4 linked regions of the Sus scrofa genome follow. The protein of the gene in region 1 purifies or fractionates together with the protein of each later gene. This does not show direct contact. Links are inferred from orthologs where the notes say so. Each region holds a gene or a part of one and is shown in the gene's direction. Other genes may lie near its edges.

Region 1 (3,559 bases):
GTTCACAGCCACTTTTTTTTTTAGCAACAGTTTGCTGGGGGTACTCTCATTACTTGAGACTTCATTGAATCATGACACCAAGTTTGACAACTGTTCTACATATTAAATAATGAACATTTAATTAGGCAGATTTAAATGTAGGATTCAGAAGTTCCCCTGTGGTGCAGCAGCTTGAGGATCCAGCATTGCTGCAGCTATGAGGCAGGTGGCAACTGCAGTGTGGGTTCAGTCCCTGGCCCAGGAACTTCCACATGTGGGTATGGCCAAAGAAAAAAAAATGTAGGCTAAACTTTTCATAGCTGTTAGAACAGTTTACACATTGCTGGTAGGGATTTTACTGTTTGTAGTTAATCTTAAAAAAATGATAGTTTGCAAAATTAATTCCACTGTTCTCTTAGGGCACCGTAAATTGGTCTGTCGATGACATTGTCAAAGGCATAAATAGCAACAATTTGGAAAGCCAGCTCCAGGCTACTCAAGCTGCTAGGTAAGCCTTGTCTCTATAGCATGGATAGCCTTTTTAGATTTTTAGATTTTTTTTTTTTTTTTTTTTTTTGGTGGGAAAGAGGTGGTTTGGGTAAAGTCAAAGTTAAGCCATGCATAGGCCTGTTTTCATTAGAATCTTCCCTTGAGAGAATTTAAAGATTTCAGTAATTGCCAAAGACTCCATGCACCTCCACTGATAATGATTATTAGCTTTTTGGTGTATATTTAAGAAAATTACAAAGTTTTTATCAACATGGCATTTTAAGTCAGTGTCAGGGAAGAAGGAATTATTCAGTAAGTGGGATTGGTCCACCCATTTAGGAAATAAGTATATTTTTAGACTCTTATCTCTGTAGACAAATAGTTTTGACATCCATTTTAGCAAGGATTAATAATCTCTGGCTTGACAGTGTGCAGAAAAGCAAATCTAGTTGACAGATGATCATGGAAAAATGTTAAATGAGAGTGTAATGCTATCAGATTGTTAGTTTTTTTTGGATTTTTTTTGTTTTTTGTTTTTGGTCTTTTTAGGGCCACACCTGTGGCATATGGAGGTTCCCAGGCTAGGGGTCTAATCAGGGCTTGTAGCCACCGGCCTACACCAGAGCCACAGAAACACTGGATCTGAGCTGCATCTGCGACCTACACCACAGCTCACGGCAACGCTGGATCCTTAACCTACTGAGCGAGGCCAGGGATTGAACCTGAAACCTCATGATTCCTAGTCGGATTCGTTTCCACTATGCCACAACAGGAACTCCCAGATTGTCAATTTTTTAAAAGTGACAAGACCTAAAGTAGATTTCTGCAGGGATGCATCGAGAAGGGTTCTACATTATTGGTAGTATTTCAGTATGGGGGAAAAAGGTAATTTAAGACATCACATATAATAGCACCATGCAACCAGTCTGTTGAGGTCCTCTTAAATTTTAGGATATCTCAGCACTTAGTGCTTTACTGTAAAAGGTTGTCTAATGCTCTGAACTCCTGAGTTACATTTTAAATTGTTTTTCACTCAAACCTATTTTGTTAATTACCTTCATCTTTTGTTTCTCCTTTTATTTACCCTTAGGAAACTGCTTTCTAGGGAAAAACAGCCTCCCATAGACAACATAATCCGGGCTGGTTTGATTCCAAAATTTGTGTCCTTCCTGGGCAGAATGGATTGTAGTCCCATTCAGTTTGAGTCTGCTTGGGCCCTCACTAACATTGCCTCTGGAACATCAGAACAGACCAAGGCTGTTGTAGATGGAGGTGCTATCCCAGCATTCATTTCTCTGTTGGCATCTCCCCATGCTCACATCAGTGAACAAGCTGTGTGGGCTCTCGGAAACATCGCAGGTACTTGGATTTCAAGTTCTTTTGACTGAATGTCTCTAATACTGAGGTTGGTTGAAGTGCCTTTGAGTTAGGGATTGAACTTGCTTCCAGTGCTTATAAGAGGTAAAAGTGTCATTTATTTATTTTAGGAACTATCTGAGTGTTTCCTTGTATCAAGACACTGGTACTCAGTCAGTGAAATTGATGGTGCTAGACAAGTAGTTATGATTAACCTTGCCTTTTTAAATTTTTTTTAAGGGGATGGTTCCGTTTTCCGAGACTTGGTTATCAAGTACGGTGCGGTTGACCCGCTGTTGGCTCTTCTCGCGGTTCCTGATATGTCATCATTAGCAGTAAGTTACTTAACCATAAGTCAAGTTACTTGTTGATTCTGATTTTGCCCACCCCCTCAAAAAATGGAGAACTTCATTGCATTTTTCTTTTCCCCCAGTGTGGTTACTTACGTAATCTTACCTGGACACTTTCAAACCTTTGTCGCAACAAGAATCCTGCACCCCCCTTAGATGCTGTTGAGCAAATTCTTCCTACTTTAGTTCGTCTCCTACATCACGATGATCCAGAAGTTTTAGCAGATACCTGCTGGGCTATTTCCTACCTTACCGATGGTCCAAATGAACGGATTGAAATGGTTGTGAAGACAGGGGTCGTACCCCAACTTGTGAAGCTTTTAGGAGCCACTGAACTGCCGATTGTGGTAAGTTAATTTTCAAATGAGAAATAAAGTATGAAGAGCATAATCAGTCAGTACTAATATTGACATACTACCTATTTTAGGCCACAATGAGCCTCTTGTCCAGACTTTTAGGGTGTAGCGACTTCGAGCAGTGGTAGAAACGATGAAGGATAACCAGCAACATCAGCATTTTTCCCTTTCCAGACTCCTGCACTAAGAGCAATAGGAAACATTGTCACTGGCACAGATGAACAGACGCAGGTTGTCATAGATGCAGGAGCACTCGCCGTCTTTCCCAGCCTGCTAACAAACTCCAAAACAAATATTCAGAAGGAGGCTACGTGGACAATGTCAAATATTACAGCTGGTCGCCAGGACCAGATACAGCAAGTTGTAAATCATGGATTGGTCCCATTCCTTGTTGGCGTTCTCTCGAAGGTAAGAAGCCTTAGGCCTTCATAAAGGATTGCTTCCAGAGGCCACTTGGTAGAACTGTACTTCATAAGGTTCTTAATGTACTAATGTTAGGTCCTACTTATAGTCTTTTGCTAAATAATAGTCAGATGGTAGTTTTAGTCACTATTTTTCTAAAAGAGTACTTTTGGAATCTTATTTTTATGCCCATTCTGAAATACACCTGTTTTCTTGTGTTTATTAGGCAGACTTTAAGACACAAAAGGAAGCTGTATGGGCTGTGACCAATTACACAAGTGGTGGAACAGTTGAACAGATCGTGTACCTTGTCCACTGTGGCATAATAGAACCATTGATGAACCTCTTAACTGCAAAAGATACCAAAATTATCCTGGTTATTCTGGATGCCATTTCTAATATCTTTCAGGTAAGTTGCCTTTTTTTTTTTTTTGGCCACACCCTTGGCATGCAGAAATTCACAGGTCAGGGATCAAAGCTTAGCCTCAAAAGTGATGACACTAGAGGTTTGGTGGGTTTTTTTTGTTTTTTGGTCTTTTTTTAGGGCCGCACCGGTGGCATATGGAGGTTCTTAGGCTAGGGGTCGAATTGGAGCTGTAGCTGCCAGCCTCCATCACAGCTCATGGC
Region 2 (4,196 bases), on another chromosome or scaffold:
TGACCATGCAAATGTTACTCCTTGAGAAATTCCTTTAGTAATTTGGAAAGACTCCCTTCGAGAATTCAAAAAAGAAAAGCTGGAATTCCTGTCTGGTTAGGGGTAACGAGTCTGACTAGCATCCATGAGAATGCAGGTAAAATCCCCAGCCCCCCAGGGTGGGTTAGGATCCCACCTTGCTATGAACTGTGGTGTATGTCACAGAGGCTGCTTAAATCCCACATTGCTGTGGCTGTGGAGTAGGACAGTGGCAACAGCTCCAATTCCACCCCTAGCCTGGGGAGCCTCCATATGCTGCGGATGTGGCCCTAAAAAAAGAAAGGACAAAAACAAAACAAAACAAAAAGTTCTTGTAGCTAGTTGCAATACCAGTAGAGATTTAGACTAGAAAACACAGGAGAATCTTATTGAAGGCAAGAGAATTTCACCTACAATAAAATTATTTCCTTTTCAATTTAAACGCAGTTTTTAGGAAATTACTTTCTGAAGCCAATGTTTCTAAGGCTAACTCCTAACACGCCTCCTCTTGCATATAATTTCACCTCTAAGACTTCTATCATTTGCTCTGTCTATATTCATGGGTAGTTTGTGTGTATTGATGAACTGAGTTTTTTTTTAAAAAGTTAAAATTCTTCCCTAAATTCTGTACATCTTCCATGGACTAGCGGTACTCTGTACTGACAAAGTCAGAGCACTGGACAACTTGCAAGAGAAACATAAGGATTAGAAGCATCTAGAATAGATGCATCACCTATGTTGGTCTTAAGTGGATATACTGAGGAGTAAGGTGTCTCTAAAGGATTATCCCAGGAACTCGGAAAATCCACTCATTCCAAGAATTCATTTTTGCTTCTTTGATTTGGTTAAGGTGGCTAGATTTGGTTAGGATCTTTCACTTGTATGACGGGGGTGGGGGGGTGGGGGTTGCTTCCGGGCACATTCAGCATTATTCCAGGCTTTCTCCCCATCGTGACTAAGGGGTACTCCGATTATACAAAGGAGTGTACATTGGGGTTGTATCTAAATAGTCCGATAGAACTATTAGAACAGAGACTTCAAATTCCTTAAGCACGCCTTCTTCCTCCCGGCCCCAAAGCACCAGCCGGATCCAAGATGGCTTCCTAGAGCCAGGTAACTAAATGTTATTTTAGTTTAGAGCGCCCCCAACGCCGGGGGTCAAGAAAAGAAGCCGAGAGATCTCAACGCCACAGAACTGACCCGTCAGAAGCAAGCTACCGCCAGATTTTATTTTCAATCAGGCATATCTGCGGTTGCCTCAGCCTTTTAGGACCTCCCACCCCAAGAGACTTCCTGGATGGCACTCACTCTACCCTGCTGGAGGAGGCCGGCCGTCGGCCCTGCCATTGGTGGATGGGAGCGTAGGTGGGCGGGCCCAAGGGAGAATGGACTACTAGCAAGCTAGATTGAAGCGAGGGCTGACCATGCTCCGCCGGAAGGCGCCTTGTTCTCAGAAAGGGTGAGTTGAAACGCTGGCTGGAAAGGAGGTACCAGGACTTGTTCAGGTAGGCTTTCCGCTCACGCCCGCCGCTTAGTGCTGGTCCAAGAGTCTTTGCAAACGCTGAGGCTCTTAGAATTGGTTTCCATAACTCATCCTCCTCCTCGCTCCCCCCGCCCCCTGCCCGTCCCCCAGTTGTGAGGAATCAGGTGCTGGGTGATGCTCTGGACTGAACCATTCTCCTTTGTGAGAGGCTGGGGGAGAGGGCGGCTGCCAGGCCCGGGGCCCGAGCCGGGCCGAGCCGCGAACCCGGCTGCTCTGAGCCCTGTGGAGTTTTCAAGGCTTGTCATTGCATTATTGAGCTTCGTGTAGATTTGAGACAGCTCCTTGTTCTCCTTGCTCCTTCCGTGGAGGGAAAACTCCCCGGCTCCTTTTGGTTACTCCATACTTTGGGCTCAGAAGTGGGAGGTTAGGGTTTTTTCCTTTTTTTTTTTTTTTCTGCTTGTTTTTTGCCTTTTAGTAATAAAGGTGGATAGGAAAGCATGGGGTGAACGTGGGCAGATTGGTTTACGTTATTAGATGTAATTTCTGTGGATCTTTGGGAGATCAGAGCAGGCTCTTGGACAGTGTTTAGAGATGGGGAAGAGAGAGGAACTCAAGCCTTGCATCTCCATTGACAGGTCTGCAGAGCTCAGTGGTTTTTCTGTTGCATTATGTAAACTCTTCACTAGCAGGAGATACCTCCCCCTGCCTCGGAGTGAATGCAATTTTTTATTTTCCGTCTCCTCTGTCGCAGGAAATTTCCCTGCCATTGCAGCAGCTGTGCACATGTAGCAGTTCCTACCTTTTAAGGAGCAGTCCCGAAATGATTAAGGCCTTTAAGGACGAGGTGAATAGTGGTGTGTTGATATTTAGTGGACCAATCTCTTTTGACTCTTTACGCTCAGTGACTGAGCATAGTGAGCCAGAAGTCGAAGACATGGCACTCCGTGTCTTTTTCTCTTAAAGAATAGACATGGTGGAACGCCCCAAACACCAAAGGTCCTGCATTTTCTGCATTGTCTGTGTCTGCTGCATCCTACCATCACACTAGCATCCACAGACTGTTTACTCTTCATCTTGTTCTAAACCTCTTCATCTTGTTCAATTGGGGATTCTCTGACAAGGGTATCTGTAACATCTGATGAGGTCCTATCTGGTGTGGGGTACTAGAAGGTGAGTTTGTGATTTGAATAATGTTAGTTAATTAGGTAATGTCTTCTGCTTAGGAATTTCTTTTGTATTAGTCACCAAATAAATTTCAGAACAAACTGTGGTCAACCTCTTAGGGCCAAAATGTGGGAAGCTTCTCATTCCAAGTATTTTGGATTATCCCACCCCTTAAAAGAAAAGAAGAGCTATAGAAAGGAAAAACAACATTTTCCATTTAGGAAGACCAGTCACAAGAATGGTATGCTGGTGGGTCTTCAAGGCAAGATGAAGGACATTGGCCAAAGAGAGGGTAACTGTGTATGGGAGAGGTAGGCATGGGGGGAGGTTTAAAACTGAAGTAGCAAAGGAGTAATGGATTGGGATAAGAGATGATGGAGCAATGCTTGGGGACTCGCAGCGTTCTTGCCTTTCCCATATTTGATCTGTCCTGTGCATTTGGCCTTTTGAGTGTGTCGTTTCCCAAATTGACAAAATTGATTTAGACACGGATAGAAAATGATAGAAATAGAAATCTGCTGAGCTGATCTGATCTGGTTGTGAACCACCATAAAACACAAATTTCCCAGGACAGCCTTCTCTGCCGCACCCATTGGGTCATGGGTAGCAGAATCTTGGCATTGTGGTAACCACCACTGTAGTTTGGTTTGTAACAGGAAAATTTGCCGTTTCATGTGTAGGGTCAAGTTTCTGATAGGTAAGGTAGGGTGGTGAAGGGGTTCAATCTTTAAAAGAAACCATTGCACACGTGTCCTTAGAAAAGGATGCCATTCGAGGGGGGCAAAGCTACCACTTAAGATTAATTTGTGAGTGCCAGGTACTGTGCTTGCTTACTGAAAGAATGGAATTTGATATTCTCATCTGTGGAAGGACTGTAACATTTTCATAGCAGCCAGCTGAATGCTAAACGCTTTGAAGATATTTGTCCACAGTCCTGAAAGGCTTAAGCTATGCTCTGAGCTTACGCTGAGCCTAATACCCAAAGGATGACACATATTTTTCTGAACCCTCTACTCTCAACCCCTAAAAGTCACTCCACTTCTGGAGTTGCATCTGAGCAAGTCCCTGATGTGCAGGTCTTTGCTGGACCTATCCTTGCACTACTGTGACCAACTTAGTATTTACTGTTTTACTTTTAGCATTTGATCCATTGGTATACTATCATGTTATATGTTCCTTTAGTTAGTTAGTTATTCTTTTTCTCACAGTCAGTGGTCTTCCCTTTATCTTCCTGTTATGATTTTGTTCATGTTGCCTTTAGTTTTAACTTACATTGTGCTTTTTTGCATCTGTCTTGTTGAAGCCACTTAAGAATGCAGAAAGACCTAATTTTCAAGCTGTGGTTTCTTGGGTACCTAGTACCCAGGTAACAGTTGTTTATCTGTATAAGAAAGCTGCAGTATGAACCACTTATTATTGCCTAAAGGTTAATTTAACCATTTATTACGTTCTAAATTTTATCCTGAATAACCTCCCCCTGACCCATTTTATTTTGTGTGTATACCTGTGTAAAGTTGTAATTCAACTTTTT
Region 3 (4,238 bases), on another chromosome or scaffold:
AGGAGGTGGTGTGGGAAGGGGACTGCTGGAATGTTGAGAAATAGTCTTTAGGTGGGCATTTGTAATTATTATGGGATGCTCTGAGGTGAACTGAACTTTATGTGAATGGCTCATCTGACCAGCTTGGTATTTGGTGGGTCTTACTCAAAATTTAACTGGAGGTAAGTGTTGCTAAGTGTCTGGAGAACATCTGGATTTTGGTGGGATTGGGTGGGGCTCAGTCCAGTTCCTGCATGTCTGAAAATGATGGATGAGGAAAGCTAGAGTCTGTCCTAGACATCAAGAGACTTTGTGCCAGGATACTGCTTTGGGCCATTAAGGGCTGAAGGTGTGTACAAGTTGGGGCGGGGACAGGGCAATGTGGATAGCCTGCTTCACCCTTGCTGGTGTGGGAGTTAGGGTTTTAGACTGACAGCCTCTGGAGATGGGGGAGGGATGAGTATAAATATTATGGGATGCCTGACTGGAAAGGTATAGGGGTGGTAGAGATGAGCATTATGGGACCTGACTCTGGGTTGTGTTGGGAGTATTATTGTATGTTTGCTTGACCACAGGTTCTTTGTCATTATTATGGGATGTCAGGGTGTGGGTGGGGGAGTAAAATTATGGGATATCTTTCCAGTGCTAGAGGAAAGGAGTTTGGATGTCCATCTGTGAGGTGACTGTAGGGCTGTTGATCATTATGGATATCTCTGATAGAGGAGGAGTGGTTATTATGGGCTGTGGAGTGGGAATGAACGTCTGAAGCCTTGGGGTCGAGTTTTGAGGTTCTAGCCCACAGGGGCTGAGGGCAGCTCCCCAGGGGGTTGGTTATTATGGGATGTCAGTACAGAAAGTGGGAGACTGATTACTACGGGATGTGTGTGGGAAGTGGGAAGAGGCCGAAGTGTCCGTTGTTGGGGGGGGGTGAGTTTCTGACTATTATGGGATATCAAACTGGGGGTGGATGAAGAGTGGTTATTATGGGATGTCTGTGGGGGATGGGGATGAGTATTATGGGATGTGAGCATGAAGAGCGGGTAGGGGTGCTTATTATGGGATGGCCATGGGGAGGGAGAGGTGACGAATTATTATGGGATGTTAGCATTAGGGCCAAGAGTGAAGAAGTTGGCAAAGGATGGCTATTATGGGATGTCTAGGGGAGGGGTAAAGTGTTAGTTGCAAAAGGTCTGCAATATCATGAGATGTCAACATCCCTGGCATATATGTATATGTGTATGGAGTGCGTGCGCGTGGGGGGGTGATGGTTGTGGTGGTGGTGGTGGTACGGTGGTGGTGGTGGTGGTGGTGTCCGTGTGTATTATGGGATGGCCAGGAGGTGGGTGGTTGCCCGGGTGACACGCGCGCGCGCGCTCGAAGGGGGCGTGGCCAGTGGTTGCTGAGCGACGAGGGGGCGGGGGTTGCCCGGGAGACCTAGGGAGGAGGGTGGCGGTAGTGGAGGGGGGGTTGGAGTTGGTTGAGGTTATTATGGGCTGTCCGTGGGGGGGCGGGGCCTGTGCGGTGGGATTTCCCGGCCGGTGTTTCGGGCCCTTTAAGAGGCGACGCTGGAGCCGGAGCCATTTTCCCCCCTTCGGCCGCGGCGAGGAGGAGCCGGAGCGGGAGTGACACCCGGCCGGACCCTGCGCGACCTGCGGCGGCTCCGGGGTGAGGAGAGCGCGGGGTTCCCAGACAGAAGCCCCTCTCATCCCGACCGGCCCCGAGGGTCATCCCTCCACCCAGCCTCTCTTCGGGCGTCCCCGGACCCGCAGACCGCCCCCTGCCCGGGAAGCCGACCCTGCCTCTCCTTCCCCTGCAGGGCGCCCAGCCCCCGCCCTCGCCCTGCCCGACTCTAGCTCTCCGCGACTCCCACCTCGGGCTTTGCCTCCCACAATGCCCGGCGCCCCCCTCGCCCTTTGCTCACTTGCCCCCCGGGACACGTGGCCCGGCCCCCCGCCTGGTGGGAGCCCCGGCCCCCCACGCCCCTGCCTCCAGCCCCCCGGAGCGCCGAGCCTCCACGCCCCCTCGTCCCCGCGGCTTCTCCGGAGAACCCGAGTTGTCCCAGAGGACAGCCTTTGGAGAGCTGCCCTGTCTGGGGACTGGCCCCTCCCCAGGCGCAGGGAGTCGCCCCCCCACCCCCAAGTGACCTTGTGTCCCCAAGCGCCTCGCCGCCGGCCGCCTCCCCCGATCCTCCCCCCACCCCCCCCGCGCCGCGGCCACTCGGACCCCCTCCCCCGACACGCCCGGCTCAGTTCAGCGGCTTCTCCCCTCCCTACGCCGGCACCGGCTTGCCCTCGGGGGCGCCGCTTCCTCCGGTCTGGGGGGCTCCAGCCCGGGAGCCGGCTTCCGGGCTGCCCCTGGGAGTGTGGAACTAAGTTCAGCCTGAGTGGTTCGGGTGCCCTGCTCGGGTGGCTGAGGGGTGGGGGGGCCGGGGGTGGGCGGAAAGCGCGGCGGGGTGGGGGAGGGGGCCGTGCGCGTCACTGACTGTTCTCTTTCTCTCCCCCCTCCCCCGCACAGTGACTCGGGCCAGTGTCGAGGGCCCCAGGCCGCAGGCAGGAGCAGCTGGGCCAATTCCCTGGCCGGGAGCGGAAGGGGATGGCGTCGGGCCTGGGCTCCCCGTCCCCCTGCTCAGCGGGCAGTGAGGAGGAGGATATGGATGCACTTTTGAACAACAGCCTGCCCCCACCCCACCCAGGTAACATCTTCCCCAAGGGCCCCGGGCAGGAAGGAGCCATCTGGGCCCTCCCTAGTGGCTCCGTGAGGCAGGGTTGAGTTTCTGGGCTTGCTCTGTGCAGTGAGAGGTGGAGGGCATCCGAAGGGAGTGGTTCTCTTCTGCGGAGCTCTTGTGCGAGGGGGTTGGAAGCCATGTGCCTCCCGGGCTGCGCGGACCGAGATGCAAGCTTGCTGCACTGCCTTCGGGAATTGCTCTGCAGTTCCCGGTTGAGGGAGCTCTCTGGGCTGGCAGGCTTTGTGGGTCCTTGGAGGAATGCAGGTGGCTGGGACCCCTGGAGGCTGTGCAGTGGGGAAGGGGCTGGGTTGAGGATCGCTTTTGGAGGAGACCAGCCGGGCATCTCTGCCGGTAGGATCCTGTGATTGCTGCTGTGGAAAAGAAAGAGGGAGTGCTGGTTACTCTCTGATTATTTTTAGCTTCTGATCAGTTACCGGCTTTCTGTGCTGTTTCAACTGTGTGAAGTTTGAATTGCGCTCCGAAGCTGGAATCTAGAGTGCTCTTAGCCAGGCAGATTGCTGGAATGTTTTGAGTGGGGCTAGGAGTGGGATGTAGTAGCCTGCAGGGTATACTCCAAGGGACAGAAAGAAGAGAGATGACACTCTGGGCACCTCTCTTCCTCGGGCAAGTGGACTTAATCCTGGCTTTTTTCTCTAGACGGTTCTGCCCTGTGCAGGTAGCCTGGGGTTTGGACTGGTGGTGTGAGGTGTTTGTGTAGGTGTGTTGGGGGTTGTGTTGTCTGTGTTTTGGGGTGGGTCCTTGCACTGGCCAAACCCGAATGGTTATGCATCCTGCCTGGTTGGAATGGCTCTTGTTTGTCCTCAAGTGATGATTGGTGTTATGTGTCTAAGTGAATGTCTCTCTTCTCTGTCTGTCTTCAGATCCCTTAGCTAAGTCACCTCCTTGTTTCCTTGACCTTTTTTTCGTAGCTTTGTTTTTTTCTACGTGCTGTTTCTTCATCTTTTCTGTTTGTGGTTTTATTTTAATTCTGGAGCTTGCTAGTCCTGTATTTGTTTCCCATCAAATGTTTTTCACTTTTGCCTTCTCTCTCCATAGTTCCAACTGCAAGTTGAGGTGGTCTGGGAGAGATGTTTCTACTTTGGCACTTTCTAAGTTGGAAGTCTTCGCTTCAATCCGAGGCCATTTAGGAGAGGGTCAGTCTTGTCATTGAGTCTTCAGCTGTGGGGATGAGAAACTTAGGCTTGAGTCTCATCACTGTGTAGGGCGAGGTGGCAGATTTCTGTGCTGTGGCCCAAGGTGGGGTGGAGAATGGCGGTAGTGGTGAGGTGGTTCCATCCTGGCTTTGAGGGGCATGAGGAGTAGCCGGGCCGTCCAGCCAGCGTTGGTTCCACATCTTGGTTTCCCATTGGCCCCTTGGTCTGGGGCTGCCCCTGTGTTGATTGGGAGCTGTGCAGGCTCCCACGGTGAACTCTGCCCCAAGCTGTAGCGTGACCCAGTTTTTCCACTTGCCACACCTCATTCCTGCCCCTTTCCCAAATCTTCCCCTGTATCTCAGCCAGTTTGTCGCTTGCCG
Region 4 (4,191 bases), on another chromosome or scaffold:
GCTGCTGCATCAGCTACATTCCAACAGTCGTACTGTGAACCTGCACATTTTATGGTTGCAGCACGTACAGAGGTGGAAGTGGGTAAAATCTGCAAATGCAAGCAAGCTGAGGATGTTTTTGGAAAGTACAGTTTCCACGGCAGGTGGAGTCCAAGAGACCTCAAGGCTGCGAGCAGAGAACAAAGGCGGATAACGGGCAGCCACGGGAGCCGGGAACTCAGGACAAGCCAGGTCCCTCCACATCCCACCAAGACTAGCCCGCGGGCGAGGAGAAGGGAAGGGAGGGGAGGGGACCCCGGGCGGGCGGGAGGGGCAAGGGGCGGGGACCCCCAGAAGAGGAGGAGGGGGCGGGCGGCGGAGACCCCTGGGACGGAGGGGGCGGGGACATCCTCGAGGGACGGAGGGAGAAGGGACCCTCGGCCTGGAGAGCGGGGGGAGGGGAGGGAGGGGCAAGAGAGGTGGGGACCCCCGGGAACGCCAGGAGGGGGCGGGGCGGCGGGGAACCCTGGGTCGGAGTGGGGGGGATCATCTGGGAGGGACGGCTGGGAGGGCGGGAGAAGGGGCCCTCCGGATGGAGGGCGAGCGGAGGGGAGGGGACCCCTGGGAGGGAGGGGTTAGGAGGTGGGGACCCCCGGGAAGGCGAGGGGGCGGGGCCACCGGGAGGAGGGACCGCGGGAGGCGGCGGGAGGAGGGCCCCTCGGGGCTTAGGGGCAGGGGGCGGGGCCCCTTGGGAGGCGGGGCGGGGCGGGGGCGGGGCGGCGGGGACCCCCTGGCCGGAGGGGGCGGGGGCCCCCGGGAGGGAGGCGGCGGGGGCGGGGACCCTCGGCTGGAGGGCGAGGGGCGGGGCGCGGCGGGGCGGGGAGCCCCGGTGGGAGGAGAGGGCTGACGTGCGAGGGGCCGGGCCGGGCCGGGGGGCGGCGGGCCGGGGCGGGGCTGGGGGCTGAGGCAGCGGCGGGAGGTGGGGCCGCGGAGCGCGCCGGGCTGCGGCGGCCGGGAGGCGGGGAGACGGGCGCGGGCCGCGCGGGGCCGAGGGGAGCGGCCCGGGGCCGGCGGGCGCGGCGGCGGCGGCGGTGGCCGAGGGCCCGGCGGGCGCGCACGGCGGCGGGCGCGGCGGGCGCGGCGGCGGCGGCGGCGGCAGGGCGGCGGGCTCGGCGGCGGCGGCGGCGGCGGGCGGCGCGCTGGCGGCGGCCATGGCGGTGGCGGCGGCGCTGGCGGGCCGCGGGGCGCGCGGAGGCAGGGGCCGGCCCCCGGGCGGCGGGCGGGCGGAGGGGGCGGGGCCCGGGCGGCGGGCGGCCCGCGCGGCGGCGGCGGCGGCGGCGGCAGCGGCGGCGGCGGCCGGGACGAGGCGGCGGCGGCGGCGGCGGCGGCGGCGCGGGGCGCTCGGGCTGATGGCGGCGGCGGGCGGCCCCGGGTCGGCGCTGTCCCCGCGGCCGTGCGACAGCGACCCGGCCACGCCCGGAGCGCAGTCCCCGAAGGTGAGGAGCGGGCCGGGCCGGGCCGGGCCGGGGGTGGCGGGCGGGGAGGGGCCTGCGGGCGGCGGGCTGGTGCGTCCGGGCCGCCTGTCCCGGCGCCGCGGCCCAGCCCCGCGCGGCGCCCCGTCCTTTTGGCGGTTTCCGCGCCGGTTCCCGGGGCCGTCGTCCTCGCCGTGGAATCAAACTTTCCTCCCGGGCGGAAACACTTTCCTCGGCGGCGGCGGCGGCGGCGGCCTGGGGCGCCGTGTGCGTTTGGGAGAGTAGCTCGGGAGGAGTTGAGTCCTTGGGCGAAACAGACGCGGAAAGCACTGCAAACACGCTGTCCCGGTGGCGGACTCAGCTGGGGGCCGCGGCCGTGCTCCGCGGCGCTGAAATCCCCAGGCAGACTCGGAGTTTCGTGGCTCGTACTGTGGGGACGTGTTTGTAAGGTCAGAGTTGTGCAGAAAATCGAGATGAGCGTGAAAACCTCTTGTTTTGAAGTGAGTGTACGGGTTCGTGACAGGGGAGCGGAGCGTGCCCTGTTACTGAAGCTGGACGGGGGGCCGGGGGCCCTGCAGACGGCCCTGCGCGAAGCCTGGCTCCCGGCCTTGGCCGCTGCCCGGGCTCAAGACCCCACCTGTGCGAGCGGCTGGCCCCGGGCCCACACCGTCGGCTTCCACAGTGCAGGGCTCGCCCTGCCCAGCTCGAGGGGTCTGTCCCAAGAGCATTTCATCTGAAGGTGGTAGCCACCTGTGACTCAGATGCAAGTAGCTGGCCATCTTAACACCCGGGTTTCTGTGTCAGCATCGAGGGTGCAAGCACTTCTCTCTTGGTTGCCATCATGTTATGGGAATGTGTTGCAGTGATGGCTCTCTAATGTCCACTTTGTGTATAATCCATTTGCCTAGGACTTGTAATAGCCAACTCAAACACTACATGTGAAATTGTGGTTTCAACTTTTTTGAGGACTTTGCATTTTTAACTTTTTTTTTTTTTTTAAAGGGCCACATGTGCAGCATATGGAAGTTCCCAGGCTAGAGATGAACTCGGCCTATGCCACCCACATTCACTGCAACGCCAGATCCCACGGAGCCCAGTCTGCGACACACACAGCAGCTTGGAGCCATGCTGGATCCTTGAGCCCCACTAAGCAAGGCCAGGGATTGAAACTGCATCCTCATGGATGGTAGTCGGGTTCGTTGCCACTGAGCCACAACAGGAACTCCGCATTTTTAACTTTTTGTCTCTTTTTTGGTATCTTAAATTTTTTAGCCAAGGGAAATATACTTAAACAAATTGACGTAAAAGTCCTTAAAGTGCTAAGAAGCAAGTGAGATAGATAGGAAATGATACTTGAATGCTTATCGAATATGAAACCTATCAATTGGGAGACTTACTGTTAATTGTACGTTTTTGGAGGATAGATTTAGACTCTTCATCTCCTACCTGGTTGCTCTCTCTCAGTAGGAGTGTAAAGAGCTCTTTAACTGAGTGCTCACTTGCTAAGAACTGAAGAGGAGACTCACGGTTTTTGCTCTTTGGTAAAGAGTCTGAGTAAATTCCTAACAGGTGGAGCCATGTGAGATGTGACACTGTCGTCATGGTCGTAGTGACTGACTTGTATTGGGCACTTAGTTGTTTGCTAGGCTTTGCTCTGAGTGCTTCCCATGTAGTCGCTCTTTTAATTCCTGCCTGAGCCAAGGCCTGGGGCACTGCCCCATCTAGGTTTTGCAGATGAGGGTGGCTCCCAGAGGACAACCACTCAGCCCCCAAAGCCAGTGCCCAGTGGGATTCCAGGCCGCCCAGCTTTCTGTGCTCGACGAACTGCATACTCATTGCCTCTGCCTTCTTAGAACCATGGGTTTAACAAAATTGATTTTTTAAAAACCCATTTTAGTCCTGGAATCTTGTTTTTTTTTTTTTTTTTTTTTTTTTTTGGCCAAGCCTGTGCTGCGGTGACAGCGCCTATGCCCTGAAGGCGCTCCCTCAGTCTGCTCTTTTTAAGCCTTATGCTGTTAATTCTTAGCTAATATATGATTAAATCGACTTCCTAACCTTTGTTGCCTCATTCATTTCCCTAATGAAGCGGTCTGACGGCCTTGATACGGTCAGGTAATGGAAAACATCACTTAAAAAAAAATATATATGTCTTTTTGCTATTTCTTTGGGCCGCTCCAGTGGCATATGGAGGTTCCCAGGCTAGGGGTCAAACTGGAGCCACAGCCACCGGCCTGCGCCACAGCCACAGCAACGCGGGATCCGAGCCGCGTCTGCAACCTACACCACAGCTCACGGCAACGCCGGATCCTTAACCCACTGAGCAAGGGCAGGGATCGAACCCGCAACCTCATGGTTCCTAGTCAGATTCGTTAACCACTGCGCCACGACGGGAACTCCACTTAAAAATATTTTAAGCCTCTTTTTTGGGGAGGTAGTGTGTGTTATTTTACGTGTGTATATATATATATATATATTTTTTTTTTTTTTTTTTTTTGCTAAATTTTTGTAGTGTAAGAAAAATTATCAGGATTGGTAATCTTTTTTTAGTCCTGTGTGTCTTCTTCAAAGATCAAGGATTTAAAAGATAGCCAGTAAACCAGGTATGAGTTGAGTTGAACACTAAATAATCCATACATTTTTATCCTTGCTGGCTAGGAGGGTTTGCTTTCATTTCAGAGGACTGCAGCAGTCTTACGTGTGTTATTAAAGCAAAAGGCATTTTGACCTTTCTTCATGAGAA

Evidence for each region. The genes of interacting proteins can lie anywhere in the genome.
Region 2: the proteins of KPNA2 (region 1) and CHD8 purify together in Homo sapiens (affinity purification with mass spectrometry; 4 studies listed by BioGRID and IntAct, with this or other methods). This does not show direct contact. The link is inferred for Sus scrofa from reciprocal best matches to the Homo sapiens genes KPNA2 and CHD8.
Region 3: the proteins of KPNA2 (region 1) and CHD4 purify together in Homo sapiens (affinity purification with mass spectrometry; 3 studies listed by BioGRID and IntAct, with this or other methods). This does not show direct contact. The link is inferred for Sus scrofa from reciprocal best matches to the Homo sapiens genes KPNA2 and CHD4.
Region 4: the proteins of KPNA2 (region 1) and PHF10 purify together in Homo sapiens (co-immunoprecipitation; 3 studies listed by BioGRID and IntAct, with this or other methods). This does not show direct contact. The link is inferred for Sus scrofa from reciprocal best matches to the Homo sapiens genes KPNA2 and PHF10.

Annotation. Positions count from the first base shown.
Region 1 is NC_010454.4:14,289,563-14,293,121, forward strand, and holds part of KPNA2 (importin subunit alpha-1), read left to right. Parts: intron 1-398; coding exon 399-487; intron 488-1,558; coding exon 1,559-1,827; intron 1,828-2,064; coding exon 2,065-2,159; intron 2,160-2,257; coding exon 2,258-2,521; intron 2,522-2,704; coding exon 2,705-2,938; intron 2,939-3,158; coding exon 3,159-3,341; intron 3,342-3,559.
Region 2 is NC_010449.5:77,718,112-77,722,307, forward strand, and holds the start of CHD8 (chromodomain-helicase-DNA-binding protein 8), read left to right. Parts: upstream 1-1,364; 5' UTR 1,365-1,477; exon of another isoform or gene 1,478-1,523; intron 1,524-4,196. UniProt on the Homo sapiens protein: ATP-dependent chromatin-remodeling factor, it slides nucleosomes along DNA; nucleosome sliding requires ATP. Acts as a transcription repressor by remodeling chromatin structure and recruiting histone H1 to target genes.
Region 3 is NC_010447.5:64,070,221-64,074,458, forward strand, and holds the start of CHD4 (chromodomain-helicase-DNA-binding protein 4), read left to right. Parts: upstream 1-1,406; 5' UTR 1,407-1,644; intron 1,645-2,049; exon of another isoform or gene 2,050-2,351; intron 2,352-2,493; 5' UTR 2,494-2,571; coding exon 2,572-2,671; intron 2,672-4,238. UniProt on the Homo sapiens protein: ATP-dependent chromatin-remodeling factor that binds and distorts nucleosomal DNA. Acts as a component of the histone deacetylase NuRD complex which participates in the remodeling of chromatin.
Region 4 is NC_010443.5:555,539-559,729, forward strand, and holds the start of PHF10 (PHD finger protein 10), read left to right. Parts: upstream 1-1,359; 5' UTR 1,360-1,388; coding exon 1,389-1,475; intron 1,476-1,526; exon of another isoform or gene 1,527-1,900; intron 1,901-4,191. UniProt on the Homo sapiens protein: Involved in transcription activity regulation by chromatin remodeling. Belongs to the neural progenitors-specific chromatin remodeling complex (npBAF complex) and is required for the proliferation of neural progenitors.